Linked DNA regions of Oryctolagus cuniculus. The protein of the gene in region 2 interacts with the protein of the main gene of each other region in a biochemical or structural test. Links are inferred from orthologs where the notes say so. Each region holds a gene or a part of one and is shown on either strand. Other genes may lie near its edges.

Region 1 (3,681 bases), on a different chromosome or scaffold from region 2:
GTCTCGGCGCGGCAGGGCACCGTCAGCCGCATCTTCACCAGCTGGGGGCAGTGGGGCGTCAGCGGCCGGCCGGCCCGCACCGAGGCCGGCGGGGGCGGGGCGGGGCGGGGCCGAGGGCGACTCACGGGGCAGATGAGGGAGACGCGCACGCCGGTGGTGGCGATCTCACTGTCCGGGTCCAGCCGCAGCTTCTCTTTGACTGGGGGAGGCAGAGGGCGAGGTCAGAGGGCAGAGGGCAGGGGCAGGCAGGTCGGGATTCGGGTCTTCTCCAGCCGGCCCAGGGCCCTGGTGGCGTCTGGGACAAGGGCTGCCAGTGGCCACTGGGTCCAGGCCCAGCCCAGGGGCACGCGTCCCGGCCCTCGGGCTTTCCTGGAGAACCTGGGCAGAGCTACCCCGGAGACCCCCACCCCCACCCCGGAGACCCCCTGGGGATGAGTGACAGCACAGGCAGCCCCCCCACCCCCGTGACCCTGCTGTGGGGGCCCAGGAGGCTCCTGCAGCCCCCACCTCGCTGAGCCCGGACAACAGGGGCGGGGCCCGGCCCCTTCCCTTTCCCTGCCTGGGCACGGGATGTCGTAGGAGGCCCAGAGCCTCCAGGCCCCTGCACGGACCCAGGGCTGGGAGCCCCCAGCGTGGCCCTCCCGCCCCGCCCGCCAGCCCTGGCGCGAATGCGGAGCCCGGGGCGTGGTCCGCTGGGAGCCCGCCCTGGCGCGAATGCGGAGCCCGGGGCGTGGTCCGCTGGGAGCCCGGGGCGTGGTCCGCTGGGAGCCCACCCGCCCGCCCTGGCGCTAATGCGGAGCCCGGGGCGTGGTCCGCTGGGAGCCCGCCCGCCCTGGCGTGAATGCGGAGCCCGGGGCGTGGTCCGCTGGGAGCCCCGCCCGCCCGCCCGCCCGCCCGCCGCGGGGCTCACCCAGCGCCTTGCACAGCTCCGGGTGCTTCACCCCGATGGTCTTCAGCCGCTGCAGCAGCTCCGCCGAGCTCAGCTGCCGCACCAGGTACAGCGCCACCGAGTAGCTCTGGGGGGCGGGGGCGTCAGCGGGGGGGTGAGTGGGGCGGGTACCCGCAGGGTGGGGTGGGGGGTGTCAGTGGGGGCGTGTCCCAGCAGGGCGGGGTGGGGTGTGGTGGGGGTGTCGGTGGGGGCGTGTCCCAGCAGGGCGGGGTGGGGTGTGGTAGGGGCGTCGGTGGGGGCGTGTCCCAGCAGGGCGGGGTGGGGTGTGGTGGGGGCGTCGGTGGGGGCGTGTCCCAGCAGGGCGGGGTGGGGTGTGGTGGGGGCGTGTCCCAGCAGGGCGGGGTGGGGTGTGATAGGGGCGTCGGTGGGGGCGTGTCCCAGCAGGGCGTCGGTGGGGGGTGTGTCCCAGCAGGGCGGCGGTGGGGGCGGGTCCGGGGGGGCGCTCACCTTGCCGTAGTTGCCCCAGGTGACGGTGATGCGGTTGGTGGCCGAGGACAGGTACATGAGGTGTGTGAGGTTGATGGGGCGGCAGGGCCTCTTGGGCTCCACGCCGGGCTTGTTGGAGGGGTAGTAGCCCTGCGGGCAGAGGCGGGCTCAGGCCACGCCCCGCCCACCCCGCCCGCCCGCCCGCCCGCAGGGGCGCGCACTCACGGGCACGGAGCAGTAGCTGTGGTTGACCTTCACCGCGATGTTGGGCGGGTACTGGTCCTCCTGCGGGCAGCTGGTGTCCGAGTAGCAGATTCTGCAGGGACAGCGGGGCTGTGGGGGCTGCGGCCAGGCAGGGGGGAGGCGGGCGGGGCGGGGGGCGGGGGGGGGGCGCCGGCCTACCTCAGCACGACCTGCACGGCTTTCACTCCGGGCTGCAGCTCTCTGTGGGGGATGGGAGGGAGGGAGGCGGGGTCACTGCCCAGGTCCGCCCCCAGCCTTGGGCAGCCTTGTGGGAGCCGGGCCGCAGGCCTGCGCAGGGAACGCGGCGAGCTTGGACAGAGCCACACCCTGGCGGCCAGGGACGGGGCACACACGGCGCTCGCGCAGCGCGGGGCCCCGGGGACGTCACGCCCAGGGAGAGACGCAGAGGCCACGCCACCCTGTGGGCTCCCGGGCAGGAACGTCCAGGCCTGGCGAATCCAGGGACAGGAAGTGGCTGGGGGAGGAGAGGCTGGGAGCAACCGCTCGTGGGGGCGGGGCTGTCTGGGGTGCCGTAATGTTCCGGAGTTGGCGGTGCCCGGCTGACGGGGTGCGCCGGACCCCGCGTACACGCTCCCACGTGGGGTCTTCTCGGCCCTAAGGAGCGAGCCGTGCAGGAACCCATGGCCGGCAGGGTCTCCTGGGGGGGCGGCCACGGGGACAAAGGCCCCGCCTGGAGCACGGTTCCGGGGCAGCCGTGGGGTCTGCGGCGCCGTGACCTGGGGCCGGCGGGCAGCGGGCCGCGGGGGGGGGGGGGCGCCGGGCGCACCTGGAGTTCCGGATCAGCTCCACCTGCCTGGGGAGGGAGGGGGACTGGAGGGGGGAAGGGAGAGGGGGGAGGGGAGGGGGACGCGCACCTGGAGTTCCGGATCAGCTCCACCTGCTGGGACAGGGGAGGGCGGGGGTGGGGAGAGGGGAGAGGAGGGGGACTGGAGGGGGGAGAGGAGGGGGGGCGCACCTGGAGTTCCGGATCAGCTCCACCTGCCTGGGGGGGAGGGGGAGGGGGCGGGGAGGGGAGGGGAGGGGAGGGGGGGCGCACCTGGAGTTCCGGATCAGCTCCACCTGCCGGGGCGTCAGGGCGAAGATGCACGGGCTCTCCTGCAGTTTCTCGCTGTTCTGCGGGACTGGAGAGGGCTGGGGTCAGCCGCCCGCGGGGCGCATCGCCTTCCTCCCGCCGACATCAGGCGAGGCCCGGGCAGCCCCGGGCTGGCTCCCGCGGGGCCTCTGGTCACCGGGCAGCCGCTGGGCGGAGGCAGGGTTAGCCGAGGCCCCTCCCTCTGAACTGGGACTGGCAGGCGCGGGCGGCGGGAATGAGCCCACAGCGCCCCGGACGGGCCGGCCAGGCAGCGTGGGAGGCCGGCGGCCGCTGCGGGGCTTCTGGGAAAGGGAAGAGATGAAGGCAGGACCACGCGGACCGCCTCCGGGAGAAACCAGGGAAAGTCCGCGCAAGGCAGGAAGGAGGGGCGGCGAAGCCAGCAGAGGAGCAGGGGACGAGCAGAGCCCGGCGCACGCGGCTGCGGGCGCCAGCGAGGACCAGGCCGGGGCGGCACCGGGGCACCCAGCAGCCAGGGGAGAGGACGCACGTGCCCACAGACAGGCGCCGAGCGAGGGCCGCCTGCCGCGCACCGGGTGAGGCGCCCGCCGCACCTCCCATCCCGCTCCCTGCTGGGGCCCTGTCCCCGCGTGGGAGACCGGGAAGACCCAGCCCCGGCCACTGTGGGGATCGGGGGGGGGGACGGTAGATGGGGAACCCCTTCTCTCTGCAACCCTGACTTTGAAATCATTCGATCCTAAAACCGGAAACACGCATATTGTGAAAAACACCTCATGCATTTCCATTCTGTTTCTGCAGCAAAACACCCTTACCGTCTACTTCAATTTTCCAAACTTTCTTTTAATTTATGTTATTTATTTGAAAGAGTTACAGAGAGAGAGAGAGGTCTTCCATCCGCTGGGTCACTCCCAGATGCCCACAATGGCCAGGAGCCAGGAGCCTGCTCTGGGTCTCCACGCGGGTGCGGGGGCCCAGGGCCCTGGGCCGTCCT
Region 2 (3,814 bases):
TCCAATTTCTAGGGACAAAGAAAATTAACAATTTGGCGTTAAACCTGCTAGACACTTTGCTGTAAGAATTCTTCGGCCTTGGGGGCTGGCATTGTGGTACAGCAGGTTAAGCTGCTGACTGTGATGACAGCATCCTATATAGCTATCAGTTCCTATCCAGGCTGCTGCACTTCCAATCCAGCTCCCTACTAATGCACCTGGGAAAGCAGCAGAAGATGGTGCAAATACTTGGGCCCCTGCACCCATGTGGGAGACCCAGATGAGTTTCAGGATTCTGGCTTCAGCCTGGCTTAGCCTGGGCCATTGTGGCCGTTTGGGGAGTGAATTACAGAATGGATGATCTCTCTCTCTGTGTAACTCTTTCTTTCAAATGAGTAAGTAAATATTTTTTTCTTAAAAAAGTGGGGAGGCAGTGCTGTGGTGCAGCAGGTTAAACCCCTGGCTTGCAGCACTGGCATCCCATATGGGTGCTGGTTCGAGTCCTGGTTGCTCTACTTCTGATCCTCTCTGCTATGGCCTGGGAAAGCAGTAGAAGATGGCCCAAGTGCTTGGGCCCCTGCACCCTCGTGGGAGACCCCGAGGAAACTCCTGGCTCCTGATCAGCTCAGCTCTGGCCGTTGCGGCCATTGGGAGTGAACCAGCAGAAAGAAGACCTCTCTTTCTCTCTGGCTCCACCTCTCTCTGTAACTCTGAACTCTTTCAAATAAATAAATATTTAAAAAAAAAAAAAAAAAAAAAAAGAAAGAAAGAATTCTGCCTCTATTTTCCTATCTGACATACCATGGTGATTCTTCAGTGTTTGTTTGTTTGTTTGTTTTTTAATTTATTTGACAGAGTTAGACAGTGAGAGAGAGAGACAGAGAGAAAGGTCTTCCTTCCGTTGATTCACCCTCCAAACGCCAATCCAAAGCCAGGAGCCAGGTGCTTCCTCCTGGTCTCCCATGTGGGTGCAGGGCCCAAGCACTTGGGCCATCCTCCACTGCCCTCCCGGGCCATAGCAGAGAGCTGGACTGGAAGAAGAGCAACCAGGACTAGAACCCGGCGCCCATATGGGATGCTAGCGCCACAGGCGGAGGATTAACCAGGAGAGCTATGGTGCCGGCCCCTCTTCAGTGTTAGTGCATACATTTTTACTTAAGTTATATCATAGATTCCATGCCTGCATATGTCACATTTTAATATAATAATTTGCCAGTCAATGAATATTTTGGATGTCAAATTTTCACCTAACCAAGTTATAATATGCATCATTAAATATCTTTGAACACCTTGCATATTTATGAATATCCTTGTAGGAATATTATTTCTATAGAAATACAATGGTTAGATCAAAGGCAAGCACATTTTATAGCTTGATAGATTTTACCAAATTGTTCTCTATTATGGATATACCATCTTACATTTCTGCCAAACATGTTTGGAGAATGATTTTGCAGATTTCTGCTGTAATGCTTTTTGGAAATATGGATTGTCTGTTTACCTCACCATGATGGTAAGAAGACATTTCTGCCACTGACCCAGCTAACTGGGCAACCTTCACTTCTCGCTTGTCATTCCGTTTGAAACAAGTAAACAAAACCTTTCTCTGCCCTGGTTTCAAACCTGTAAAATGAAGACGGGCAAATAGTTAGCCATTTCTGGGTACTGATTTCTACTTTACAATAAAATTATACCAACAAATTGGAACTCACCATCTACCATTGACGGGATAGATCTCTCATTATCAGAATTTGAGAAGAGGATAAGTTCTTTGTTTATGAAGTCATTGTATGTCAGATATGTGGTGGTTTGCCCATATAAGTAATCCTGAGGGATCAAAGAGGGTAAGTATTACATGATTTAGTTTAAAAAAAAAATCACTGGTCTTAATAAGACACAGAAATAAAATATAAAATATAAATTATGTGGAAGTATTTATGTTTTAAAAATTAAAAACGAATTTAATTGTTGCACAATTAGAAAAAGAATGCATCACCTTTGTAATTTCTTTCAGGCCTCATACATTCACCCAGCAGTTGAAATAAGAAAATTTATATAGTTATTATATTAAATTTTTACTGAAATAAGTATTCAGTAAGTGTAATTTGCTATAGTATCAATCCTAAAAGCTCTATCAAATAGTGCATTTCGTGGAATATATTTAAAATTGTTACCTCAGGAAGGCCAAGTAACTTTCGTTGTCTTCTATCCTCCATGAAATGAGTTAACCATTCTTTTCGATCATCTATTTGCTTTTTGCTAAAGGCCTACAAATTAGAAAAGGAAAAATATGTCAGTGGCACTAACAGGTTCTAAAATCTTTCTCTCATAAAAACAACCAACCAAGAACAAAAATCCTGTTATCTAAAATAAACTGGGTCCTTCTATGGAATATACTTACTAGAAATATTCTATTTTACAAAACACTCACATAAAAACTTACATGTTGATTGAATAGTTACAGCAGTGCTTTCTAAAATTAGAATATATATATAAGTGTATATAATATATATATATTACAACTCATTTATATATATATATATATATATATATATATATATATATATATATATATATAAAAATTACAACTCAGACTCACCAGGCTGATTGCAGCATCATCTTCAGGACCAGAATATTTGAACTGGATACGATGTCTCTTCATATCTGCAAAGTATTCTTTAGCTTCCTTTGATGTGCTAGTGCCCAAACCTACGAAATGAACACCCATATAAATATTGTACAATGGTATATAACAAAATGAGAATTTCTATATGGTTTCAATACAAACCTTTGTAATACTTGACTTTCCACTTTTTATGATTTGGAGTAGAACTCTTCCATTCTTCAAATTCGGGAAGGCTATAGAATGCCATTTCTTGCTTGTTTCTCGATACCTGTGAGGAAGTGCACATTGCTGTGGCTTTGCATTCTGTGGAGTCCCTTGCATACCACCTCACATCACTGGGGTTATGTATACATCAGGTTTGAGGAAAAGGACCTTAAAATATTCACTCTGGTATCGCAGAAATTAGCATACCTTTACAATTGGAGTGATAAATTCTTCCAGAAAACGATGTCGCAGAAGCGAAGGCCAGTTGTGATGGATAAAATTAATCAGCAAGCCTTTGATATGGGAACCATCTTGGTCCTAGAAATATTTGGAAAGATAAAGTACAAAAGGATTATTTTGAAACTAAGCAAAATTATAATTGAACTACTGGCAATTTCTCAAAAAACCTTCTATGGGAATAACTTAAAACAAACGATTTAAAAAAGAGCTATTCAAATTCAGACTCATTTAATCTATATATTTAGTATATAGGCACAAGACACAAGATTAGAAATTTATTAGAGATAATGAATAAAGCTACTTAAATAACTTATTATTATGGCAGGAAAGCAATGTAACAATAAGATACGCTTAATTGTGTTTAACAATCTAAACTACTTAATAACAAATCTGACCTGATCTGTCATAATCATTATCTTCCCATAACGAAGAGTCTTTAATGAATCTTCATCTTCATAGTTTTTCTTGTACTGAAGACCCACAATCTTGATAATATTGTTAATTTCAGCATTTTCCATAATCTGAAATAGACATATGTCCCCCCCAAATAATAATTTTTATAAATTTGAAAAGAACAAAGAATTATAACAGTATGTATTGCTTGGGTTTTTTTGAGCTTCAATATTTTGAATTATAGGCATTAGCCTATAATTCAATAAGTCAGAAAGATCTATTAGGGTATGCTACAATGTACACAATTTTTTTTTTTTTTTTTTTGACAGGCAGAGTGGACAGTGAGAGAGACAGAGAGAAAGGTCTTCCTTT

The links.
Region 1: of the proteins of TOP2A (region 2) and PIAS4, one has a biochemical effect on the other in vitro, tested with the Homo sapiens proteins (2 studies listed by BioGRID). The link is inferred for Oryctolagus cuniculus from reciprocal best matches to the Homo sapiens genes TOP2A and PIAS4.

Annotation. Positions count from the first base shown.
Region 1 is NC_091447.1:59,284,473-59,288,153, forward strand, and holds part of PIAS4 (E3 SUMO-protein ligase PIAS4), read right to left. Parts: intron 2,761-3,681; coding exon 2,676-2,760; intron 1,820-2,675; coding exon 1,778-1,819; intron 1,692-1,777; coding exon 1,601-1,691; intron 1,526-1,600; coding exon 1,397-1,525; intron 1,017-1,396; coding exon 911-1,016; intron 200-910; coding exon 126-199; intron 42-125; coding exon 1-41.
Region 2 is NC_091448.1:22,079,468-22,083,281, reverse strand, and holds part of TOP2A (DNA topoisomerase 2-alpha), read right to left. Parts: intron 3,571-3,814; coding exon 3,445-3,570; intron 3,128-3,444; coding exon 3,017-3,127; intron 2,874-3,016; coding exon 2,768-2,873; intron 2,689-2,767; coding exon 2,579-2,688; intron 2,247-2,578; coding exon 2,154-2,246; intron 1,807-2,153; coding exon 1,692-1,806; intron 1,603-1,691; coding exon 1,481-1,602; intron 1-1,480. UniProt on the Homo sapiens protein: Key decatenating enzyme that alters DNA topology by binding to two double-stranded DNA molecules, generating a double-stranded break in one of the strands, passing the intact strand through the broken strand, and religating the broken strand.